3 linked regions of the Mus musculus genome follow. The protein of the gene in region 2 purifies or fractionates together with the protein of the main gene of each other region. This does not show direct contact. Links are inferred from orthologs where the notes say so. Each region holds a gene or a part of one and is shown on either strand. Other genes may lie near its edges.

Evidence for each region. Proteins that work in one complex are often made in the same cells at the same time.
Region 1: the proteins of Pagr1a (region 2) and Ncoa6 purify together in Homo sapiens (affinity purification with mass spectrometry; 3 studies listed by BioGRID and IntAct, with this or other methods). This does not show direct contact. The link is inferred for Mus musculus from reciprocal best matches to the Homo sapiens genes PAGR1 and NCOA6.
Region 3: the proteins of Pagr1a (region 2) and Paxip1 purify together in Homo sapiens (affinity purification with mass spectrometry; 6 studies listed by BioGRID and IntAct, with this or other methods). This does not show direct contact. The link is inferred for Mus musculus from reciprocal best matches to the Homo sapiens genes PAGR1 and PAXIP1.

What each region holds. Positions count from the first base shown.
Region 1 is NC_000068.7:155,409,784-155,413,283, reverse strand, and holds part of Ncoa6 (nuclear receptor coactivator 6), read left to right. Parts: intron 1-1,637; coding exon 1,638-1,759; intron 1,760-3,500. UniProt on the Homo sapiens protein: Nuclear receptor coactivator that directly binds nuclear receptors and stimulates the transcriptional activities in a hormone-dependent fashion. Coactivates expression in an agonist- and AF2-dependent manner.
Region 2 is NC_000073.6:127,014,553-127,018,549, reverse strand, and holds Pagr1a (PAXIP1-associated glutamate-rich protein 1A), read left to right. Parts: upstream 1-1,197; 5' UTR 1,198-1,628; coding exon 1,629-2,107; intron 2,108-2,267; coding exon 2,268-2,350; intron 2,351-3,080; coding exon 3,081-3,280; 3' UTR 3,281-3,499; downstream 3,500-3,997. UniProt on the Homo sapiens protein: Its association with the histone methyltransferase MLL2/MLL3 complex is suggesting a role in epigenetic transcriptional activation. However, in association with PAXIP1/PTIP is proposed to function at least in part independently of the MLL2/MLL3 complex.
Region 3 is NC_000071.6:27,743,066-27,746,550, reverse strand, and holds part of Paxip1 (PAX-interacting protein 1), read left to right. Parts: intron 1-1,995; coding exon 1,996-2,130; intron 2,131-2,218; coding exon 2,219-2,294; intron 2,295-2,375; coding exon 2,376-2,436; coding exon of another isoform or gene 2,437-2,497; exon of another isoform or gene 2,498-3,485.

The DNA of each region.
Region 1 (3,500 bases), on a different chromosome or scaffold from region 2:
AGCAGTCGGGTGCTCTTACCCACTGAGCCATTTCACCAGCCCTAAATAACATTTTTTATGGTAGTAATTATCTTATTCCCCTCAGTATGCTAGAAATAAAATTATACTTATTCATTTGCCATTAGTATGTTTTTGCTGTCTTCACCAGCCTTCTGGTGAATTGTTGATTCAACACACTTCTAAAAGGGTCTTAAACAGCATCAGGCAGGGCTCCTAAGAAAGAGAGGCTTAGGAGGAAGCTAACCTACCTCCAGTTCTACCATTATCTTACCATGAAACCTGTCTTAGACTATTAGTGTTTCTTTCATTGTTTTAGCTATAAAAAATTTTTAAGTGAAGGATACCACAAAATCTTCATTTATAATTTGAAATAACTGGAAAGTTATATAAGGAACAAATTGGCATAGTGATTTGGTTGTCCTTAGGACCTGTTAAATGCTTGGGGGGGGGTCTCTTATTGTTTATGTGTGGGTATTTTGGCTGCGTGTGTCTGTACACCACATGCTTCTGTATCTGATGCTACCGGAGGCTAGATAAGAGTGTCAGGTCTCCTGGATCTACAGTGACAGGTGGTTATGAGCTGCCATGGTGATGCTAGGAATTGAACCTGGATCCTCTGGAAGAGCAGCTATAGCTCATAACCTCTGAGCCATCTCTCCAGTCTTATGCTGCTGCTGCTGGTGCTGTTTTTTAAAGGAATTTGATGGTTTATAAAACTATACAGAGTGTTATGGGACAAAATACTGTTTACAAGGGGGTGACCATAATCAAATCAAAGGGAAATTAGTTTAGGAAAGGAAGATACAAATGGGAATAAAAAATAAACCAAATGAGGAATATAAGCACACTGGATCCTCAAAAATGTGGGCATGAGTAGGAAAAAAAGAATGTTTTCATTTTTTTCTTTCCCACTAGAATTCTTTTTTTATTTTTTATTTTTTGGTTTTTGTTTGTTTGTTTGGTTGGTTGTTTTTTTGAGACAGGGTTTCTCTGTATAGCCCTGGCTGTCCTGGAACTCAGTTTGTAGACCAGGCTGGTCTCGAACTCAGAAATCTGCCTGCCTCTGCCTCCCGAGTGCTGGAATTAAAGGCGTGTGCCACCACGCCCGGCTTCCCACTAGAATTCTAAGTTACAGAAAGAATCCAATGGTTAATGTCTCCAAGTCTTCGTTCCACAGCAAAGCTAAGTAGCTTTGTTGTGGTATTTTCCACCTTTATTGTTTGAGTACCGTCTCCATCCAGTTGGCAGACATGTAAAGTTACCTTAGGCTGCTGAATCCCTGGCATCTGGGTTGCATTAATAGCTACACTGGAGTCGGTATCACAGGAGTGACACTGCAGAGTACTGGAAGCTCAGAGTCCTGCTCAAGCTAACATCAAAGGTCATTATATAAAACATAGTATCAGGAATTAGAGAGTGACACTGAGTAAGGACACTGCTAAGATTAAATGAACTGTAAGGTTTAATGAAATGGCCAGGTTACTCTTATGTCACTAGTAAGAATCCAGACTAGAAAGATACAAATAATGGTAAGAGCAATATATAAACACATTGTTGTTGTTTAAAGTAGGAAGAGGTTGCACTAGATTCCTGTGTTCCTTATACAGCTTACTCAATCTGTGCTACTTGTGTTTTAGCACCCCAGATAATCGTCCAACTGGTCTAGAGGAAGTTGATCAACAGTCATTACCTGGAGAACAAGGAATCAACTTGGACACCACAGGCCCCAAACTGCCAGACTTTTCAAACCGGCCACCAGGTAATAAGATACTAGCTAAAATTATAAACTTTGCACTGCATATACACCTTTACAAGGCTTCTTTCCTTCCGTCAAACAATAATGCTCTCTGTCTACTAACTAGACTGCTTCAGGAATATACTGTGCAAGCACTGCATTGGTTAAGTAAATACTTAAATATAATGTCCATAGGTACATGTAAATGCACACACATGCAGACGTGCTTAAACTGTCTTCTTCATTAGTCCTCAAACCAGACTTAGTGCAAAGTGCCTTTTTTGGTCAGCATTGTAGTTTTAGTTGCCATCAAAATAAAATATGATAGTACAGAGATCTACTCACTGTATCCTGCTTGTCTGCAGTTCTTACTTCCTGAGACGTTTTCAAAGCAGAGAACTACTGCTAGGACTTAAAGCAAGATGACTTTTTTAGTAAAAGAAAATTTATTCTGACTCTTTAAAACATAAGCAATAATCATGTGATTACTGTCAGCTCAATAGCTTAAAATGAATAGTTTCAATAGTATTGAAGCCCCTTCACTGATTATAAAATGTTATCTTTTCAATGTTAAAGAGCATGGTTTTATAAAAATCAGAAATTGATTCTTTCCAACCCAGGTATCATGGCACCAAGACCAGATATCACAATTTCTCTGCACCCATTTTTTTTCTTGGTCTAAACAATGACTTATAACTTTATTCCAGAATTCAAGTCAAAGTTTCACAAGCCCTCTCCTATAGATATAGAGAATTAATGCTTTGTTTCTTCCTCTTAAGTAATTTCACCTATTCTTTGGCATATTAATGAAAGTGACATTATTTTTTAGAGTTAACCTTTTATCTGCTTTTAATTTATAAATTTATATGTTTCAAAAGTACATCATCATGATGTCAAGACTTGATGTTATTTATTACAAATTGCTTAGCATACTACAGTCATCTCTAGTGAGCCAATAGCACTGTTGAAGCTACTAGTCTCCAGTCCTGGGTGAGTACGTTCAGAAGACATTGTGAGCAGGAAGGGAGGTATCCTCTTATCTCAGGCATAACTCTTGCGTGGATTAAAGAGTTCTTTCAAACATTTATTGCCTCCTTTCTGCAAACTGGGAACCTGAGGCTCAATTTGACCTTTAACAGATTTGAATCGCTAGTGGTGTCTAAATAAATCCCTGAGTTTAATTGACTGTAGAAATAGGTGACTGCTGTGCAGTTGGGCGGGCAGTGTCTGCAGGACCCTGCTGTCCTATGCAGTCTACTTCTCTCTTTACTATCTGCCTGGCCCCTAAAGGCATCAAGGCTTTGTACCCCTTGACTAATACATATAGTTACTGTGTGTACCTGGCTTTCCTCTCAGCCATCTATCCCAGTCTGTCTTCTTAGCACTAAGCCCCTTCGGACTGATTCCTCCAGCTTCTGGACCCTTTGTAACAGCTGAGCCTTTAGCTCTTGCTTTTGAGAGGCTGCCTTGTCATCCTATTACTTGTCTTTGTATTTACTATGCTGTCTGATAAACTCATTTAAAGATCTGAGAGGCATCTGTGCTAGCACCCTGACACAAACGAACTTTTCCAAAAATTACACTTTTCTTAATGTTGGAACCCCAAAGTATATAAGAACCTGTTACGTTTGACCTGTTGGAATGCCAAATTTATAAGTATCAACAAGTGACTCGGACCTAAAACAAAACAAAAGGATTTTAAAGAAAACCTTCAAAACTGTATTCCCAGCATTTGCAGGGTGGAGGCAGCAGGGTTAGCAGTTCA
Region 2 (3,997 bases):
CTGCCAGCCATAGGCTTCCTTTCTCCCTGCACTTTTGCCTGCAGACCCCCACCCCACTCCTGCCTCTTGACCTCCCTAACCCTGCACTCTGAAAACCTCTCTGCACTTCTGGAAGCCTTCCTGAACATCTAAATTGTACTCTGCACCTCTGCATCTCTCCCAGCCTCCCTGCACTTCTTCCTGCCTCTGGAATCCTCTGAACCTTATCCCTGGCCTCCCAACGTTCATTGTCTTGGTATCTAACCCATCCCGTTCTCCCCTTCCTTAACACCGTTTTTCCCCTTGCCACGTCCCCTGACCCTTTCTCCCTTTTCATCTCCCCCTTAGCGTCTTCACCCTCCTGCCAACACTTAGTCTGCAAAAACTGCAGTACTTAGGTCAGGCTGAGGGAAGAAGGATGGTGTGGGGAGAGGAGCCTAGCTGGGGGCTCTGACTGTTCTCTACTGGGGACCACCCAGGCCCAGACCATACCCTACCCCTACCCCTAAGGTGCCTATTGGGTCCCAAAGCTGGCAAGTGAGTCCTCACCTGGGGGACCTTCTGAGAGTCCTTATTCTGAACATCCAGGGGAGGAAGGGGCATAGCTGCGCCTGAAGAGTCAGCCTGAATTGATCTGCCCGTTTGGGCTTTTTAACCTCAGAGTTTCTTGTTTGAAGGTCTATTTATGTGCTTTGTAAACAGTAGAATTCAAAACAAAACAAACAAACAAAAACAGGACCAAAGTTCCCAGCTGCAGGGAGCAAGGGAAGGGTGGGGGAGCTCTGTAATTATTCTCTAAGAGGATGAGGGAGGTTTGTTGCACGCGACAGCCCTCTGAGGAGGCAGAGAGCCAGCTGCGATGCATTTCAGAGTTGGCGGGGTTTTTTGTTTGTTTCCTTTCTTTTTTAAAAAAAAAAAAAAAAGTTGGGGGAAAACTAAAATTCCTTTTCAAAAAATAAAACTGAGTCTCCCTTTTTGTATGCTGAATGCTGCATGAGTCTTAAACACTAATAAACAGAGAATGCATGAGACTGGCCTCAGTTGGTCCCTGTGTTTGCAGAGTCAAGGTACTGCTTTCTGGCAGGCCCTACTGAACGGAATACGCATGCGCTGCCGCAGTGGCCATCTTTAGTATGGGCCGAGGTTAATGAGTCCTAAGGGCCAAATTGCGCATGCGCAAGTCTTCTCTTTCCTCTTCCAAGTAGCTTTGACTACCGCGGAGCCTCCGCGCGCCATTTCTCTGCGCCTGCGTACTGAGATGCTGCGCAGCCTGGGAGGCGGGTTTTAGCTCCAGGTTTGTACCGCTGCTGAGTAGACGCGAACTAGGTTTGCCCGGTCTAAAAAGATGACTTCCATCCCGGTGATGGAGAAGGCGATGTGAAAGCGAGAAAACAGGCCCTTCCCTTTCCAGCTCCGAGCGTGTTTCCTGCGGGTCCCTGGGAACGGCAGAATTCTGGGTCCGTGGGGTGGGGTCTGTCCTTGCAGGGGTTTGAGCGCCCCCTCCTGGGGACGGTGCTCTGGCCGCAGTCAGCTGTTGGACTGACTGGCGATTTCCTAGACCTAGAAAGGCTCTCCAGCCTTTCGGGTGAGGCGCACTGGTTTGGTACTCTAGAATCTCCTCTATTGCTGGGCTTCTTCTCTAGTACTCTATGTCCCTTGCCCTGGGCCATGGAACCATTGCAGGCAGCACAGCAGCGCCTCTGTCTGAAGAAGGGGAAGTGACTTCCGGCCTCCAAGCTCTGGCGGTGGAGGACACTGGAGGTCCCTCTGTCTCGGCTAGTAAGGCCGAGGAAGAGGGGAAAGGCAGTCAGGAGGAGGCCGGGCGTGAGGGATCCAGGCCTGAGGAGGCACTAGAAGCTCCCAGCGCTGCGAGCGACGAGCGTGCGGAGGGAGAAGCCGAAGACTGGTGCGTGCCCTGCAGCGATGAGGAGGTGGAGCTGCCGGCCAATGGGCAGTCCTGGATGCCCCCACCCTCCGAGATCCAGCGGCTCTATGAACTGCTGGCTACCCAAGGTACTCTGGAGCTTCAAGCAGAGATCCTACCCCGCCGGCCGCCTACCCCAGAGGCCCAGAGTGAAGAGGAGAGATCAGACGAGGAGCCAGAGGCCAAAGAAGAGGAGGAGGAAAAGTGAGGCCATGCTTTACACATTATTCCCGGGACTGCTCTCCTGAGCACGGAGCCTGGAGGGAGGGGAGAGCAGGAAAGGATGAGGCGGCGGGCTGGGGTGTGCCAGCGGGTGTTAGGGAGTGCTTCTCTCAACCTTGGCTTTCTGTCCACCCTGTTTCAGGCCGCACATGCCTACAGAATTTGACTTTGATGATGAGCCAATGACACCAAAGGACTCACTGATTGACAGGAGACGGACACCAGGTACGGATGAGAGGGAAGAACTGAGGGGAGGTAAAGGGCCTCCCCTAGTTACCCCGCCCACAAGTGGGCTGGTCTGAGGCCTTGGCTGGTTTCAGCCATCATCTTGACCAGCAGTGGGACGGAGCATTCATACAGTAGCATTCACACAGTAGCAGCATAGTTCTGGCTTAGGTCAGTGCCATACTTTCCTATCAGGGACCCCGCAGACCTTCCCAGAAGTTCAAAGTTTGTTGAACACATCTCTGAAGTACTATGTTCATGCCCAGAGCTGACCTGACATCCCAGCCTGTGGGCCTTCCTAGAATATGCTTTTAGAATCATTCTGGAGCTCTCTCGCAGCCGGCCAAGCCAACAGCAAGTTGCATTAGCTCCGCTTGTACAGATCCACCATTGTCAACCAGAGGAGTCCTTTTAAGTGAGGTCCCGTCTTTCCTCAGCTTGTACTACTCCCGAGGATTCCATTCCAGAGAGGAAGAGCATGTCCACGGAGAGTCTTAAGTTTTCTGGCCTCTACCCCTGCCCCAGGACCTTTGCACATGATGGTTATGTTCCCCAGCCATTGCATTATGGGTATCTTAGTCTAATACCAGCCATCCTGTGTGTGGCCCAAACCTAAACATTAGCTCCTCTGTGCCCCTGAGGCCTAAGAAGGGAGTATTTAACAAGATCTCTAAGTGTGGGCACTTGGAGGGCTCACGTCTCAATGCTGTCATGTTTTCTACCATCTTAGGAAGCTCAGCCCGGAGCCAGAAACGGGAGGCGCGTCTGGATAAGGTCCTCTCAGACATGAAGCGCCATAAGAAACTAGAGGAGCAAATCCTCCGGACCGGGAGAGACCTCTTCAGCTTAGACTCAGAGGGCCCCAGCCCCACCAGCCCTCCACTCCGATCCTCAGGAAACAGTCTCTTTCCCAGACAGCGGAAGTACTGACTGGTGCTGCTCCTGCCTACAGGTGCAGACTGTTTTGTGCTGGGCATGGCCAGCCTTTCCCAACCCAGGCTCTGGGGAACTTGTAATGGGGAAGGCCTCAGGCTCCCAGCGCAGTGCCTCTCAGGAGAGTGCCTGTGTGTTCTGTTTAGTGTCTGTTCGCAGTTTTGAGCTGGATGTGCTAAATCTAATAAAAGATGCCCGATGAGTTGGGCGTGGTGGCGCACGCCTTTAATCCCAGCACTCAGGAGGCAGAGGCAGGCGGATTTCTGAGTTCGAGGCCAGCCTGGTTTACAGAGTGAGCTCCAGGACAGCCAGGGCTACACAGAAACCCTGTCTCGAAAAACCAAAAAAAAAAAAAGATGCCGGGTGATCTTCTCAGAGGAGAGACTGCAGCTCAACCCAAGCACGCATTCTCACTTGGGCAGAGGCAGAGCTGTGTTCCTCCACACTGTAATATTGAAGCCAGAAGAGGCAGAGGCTCAGCCAGCCACCATCCCCCACCCCCACCCTTACTGCTGCATCCTCTGATTTCCTAGTCTCGGTCCAGACCCGCCAGTTAGCACTGATTCAGAAACTGCCCCCAGCTGTGGTGACTTCAGTGCAGCCTGGAGGAGCAAAAGATCCAGTTGCAGGGCCCTTTAAATACACAAGCTCCGCCCCTGCCTGCCCAGCCCATTAGGGAAGTCATCCCAAGTGTTGGTGAGGGAAATTCCTGAC
Region 3 (3,485 bases), on a different chromosome or scaffold from region 2:
AGGCAGGCATGGAGCAAGAGGAGCTGAAAAATCTACATCTTGTTTCAAAGTGAAACAGTACAAGGCTGGCTCCTGAGGCAACTAGGAGGAAGGTCTCAAAGCCCATTCTCACAGTGACATACTTCTTCCAAGAAGCCACACCTCCTAATAGTGCCACTCCCTGGGCTAAGCATGTACAAACCACCATACTGAATAACTTTGAAAAATTTTATTGTAATTAACTAAACTGGTACCCAATATGACCATGAGTTTGACTGACTATTGTATTTCTTAGCCTAACAGTTTGAGGACTCAAGGTCCATGGGCGATGCATATATAGCTGAAGTTCCGGTTAGAGACATCTTTATGTCTCAGCCAGGTTCAGAGCTGTTCCTATGTAGAGGAATCAGCAAATGATGTTGTTACCTGTTCTATTGGTCTTCTTGATTTCTTTCTTTCTGTCTGTAGCTAAGATCTTTCTTTGGGGGGCGGGGGATGTCTTCTTCTATCAAATCTGATTTTTTATTAATTTGGATGGAATCCATAGTTTTTCTTTTCCTGTAGAAACAAGAGCATATTCTCTCCCCCAATGTAAGAATTTTGTTTAACCTGCCTTTAAGAAACAATGTATCATCTACCTTACTTGCCTTGGATTTCCCTTGTAATCACCTTTTACAACCCAAGCTATTAAATAGCTATACTTAAATTATGTACTCTTCTGTGTCCCTGACCTAAGAGTGATAGCTGTGTGCTTCAACGTGTGTTCTGATCATCTTTGCTGGAAACAGCAGATGGGCTGGAAGCTATCTTAGAAACAAATATCCATCATTAATGTTGAACATACCATTTGGATACTGCTTGATCTATAGTCATGTTAGCAATACTGTCTGTTGCCTGGATCATTGGGCATTGGTTGGAGTCAGCTAAAGATTTCTGTGAAATCATTGTTCCTTCTGTATATGATGGTTTTTTTTTTTTTTTTTTTTTTTTTAATGCTGCTCAATAAAGAGGAGAGGAAAACCCTTTGTGAGGGACAGAAGCAGACTCGGGGACAGGGACAGATTTCCAAGATACCCTTCAGGCAGGCACAGATTCAGATTTATACAATAGAAAGGAGAGGATGGAAGACACAGGGAGAGAGTTGAAATTCTGAACCTTTTGGTTAAGTGACATCAAGGAAAGTGTTTTGATTTTTTGTCCTTATTGCAACACCAATGTCTTTTCAGACTCTTGAGTTATAAATGTGTTCAGAATGACCACGGCATCTAAATGTAGTTATTTTTCCTGACCACAGGCCATGTGGTCCATGTGGGAAATGTTCAACTAACCCCTCTGTGAGCTAACCCTCTCTGTGGGCTAACCCCTCTGTGAGCTAACCCCTCTGTGAGCTAACCCTCTCTGTGAGCTAACCCCTCTGTGGGCTAACCACTCTGTGAGCTAACCCTCTCTGTGGGCTAACCCCCTCTGTGAGCTAACCCTCTCTGTGAGCTAACCCCTCTGTGAGCTAACCACTCTGTGGACTAACCCCTCTGTGAGCTAACCCCTTCTGTGGGCTAACCCACTCTGTGAGCTAACTCCCTTTGTGAGCTAACCCCTCTGTGGGCTAACCCTCTCTGTGAGCTAACCCCCTCTGTGGACTGGCCCCTTCTGTGGGCTAACCCCCTCTGAGCTAACCCCCTCTGTGGATTGACGCTTTCTGTGAGTTAACCCCCTCTGTGAGCTAACCCCCCTGTGGGGGTGGGGGTGCAGAAGATAGGGAGCTAGTGGGGAACTTAACCTTCATAGTTCTAGAAAATTAAGATATCTTGTAATAAAATCTCAGTAGAGCAGGTGTTCTCTACTTTAATTTTGAGATAAGAGTCAGACAGATCTGGGATTTCATGGCCAGCCTGCTCTATATAGAAATTCTAGAGCTACACAGACAACCTGTTGGAAAAAACAAAGCCCCAAGAAAGCTTTATGAAAAGTTGCATGCAATTAAAAACATTTAAAAGATATGTTTCTGTTTACTTCTAGACAAAGTATTTCTATATCACCCCTGGCATCTGCCCAAGCCTTGCAACTATGAAGGCAATTGTAGAGTGTGCAGGGGGAAAGGTGCTAGCCAAGCAGCCGTCCTTCCGGAAGCTCATGGAGCACAAGCAGAATAAGGTGAGAGCAGAGCCCCGAGACGCCAGTGCTGTGCCTTGTGGGTGCTTCTCCCTCGCCCTCACTCAGAGCTCATTCTCTCTTTCCCTAGAGTCTTTCAGAGATCATTTTAATATCCTGTGAGAACGACCTGCACTTATGTCGCGAGTACTTTGCCAGGGGAATAGGTATGGCTCCGTGCACCTCTACACTGACCTGTGAGTGTTCTCAGTGGCCTTGTCCTAACAGTTTTGGTTCTGTTCCTTCAGATGTTCACAATGCGGAGTTTGTCCTGACTGGAGTACTCACACAGACACTGGACTATGAATCATATCCTTTACGAAGGCGCATTGCAGGGACAGGTGAGGCTGAAGGCGCATTTGCAAGTTAAAAAGGGGCATCATGGTTCTGGTCTCCAGACTTTTTCCTTGCTATTACAGGTGACCTGCCTATTTAGCTTACATAGGTGTTGAAGGATTTTACAGTTTGACCCCATAGAAAAAGATGGGAGTCTATGCCTGAGGGCTATTCCACCCTCCACAGCCATGAGGTGGGAAGTGACACAGCTTGATATGGCATTATAGTTAAGGTACAGATGTGGCTGGGTCTGTGTTGAACAGCTAAGGTTTTTCAGGCTCCCAGGGAGGAAGCCTGTCAGTTTACAGTCTGTATCACTAAATCTCAGCTATTAGTTTTAGAAGGACTCAGATTTTGTTTTTCTTTTTTTTTTAAGATTTATTTTATTTATATGTATGAGAACACTGTTGCTGTCTTAAGACACACCAGAAGAGGGCATCAAATCTTGTTACAGATGGTTGTGAGCCACCATGTGGTTGCTGGGAATTGAACTCCAGACCTCTGGAAGAGCAGTCAGTGCTCTTAACCACTGAGCCATCTCTCCAGCCCAGGGCACAGATACTTGAGAGGAGGTTTTACTTTATTGCATGCTGGCCTGGCACCCTGTGGCCTGGGCTGACTTCATAGGGATCACCTTGAGTGCCAGGATTTCAGGCATGAGCCACTGTGCCCAGCTGAGGTGGTTACTTTAATGTGTGAAAAGCCCCCAGATTAGAGTGATGTCATTATTGGTCCTCCATCTGTGTGGTGTCACCCAGCTGAGTGCATTTACCAAACACTTCCTCTTAGCCCCGAGAGCTCAGTAAACAGAGCTAGATGACATAGCTTGGTGGCCGTAGGAGCTAGCAGGAGTCCCTGGCAGGGATCTTCCTCCAAGCAGACTGAGCTGGACAGTGACAGGAGGCAGGTGTGCTGTAGCATCTGGTCTTTATACAGCACATCCTCTGATGACTTCTCCAGGCTTCTCCAGACTTCTTCTTAACACTGCTTGCACTTGAGAACATGGTAGAGCTGCTTCTCAG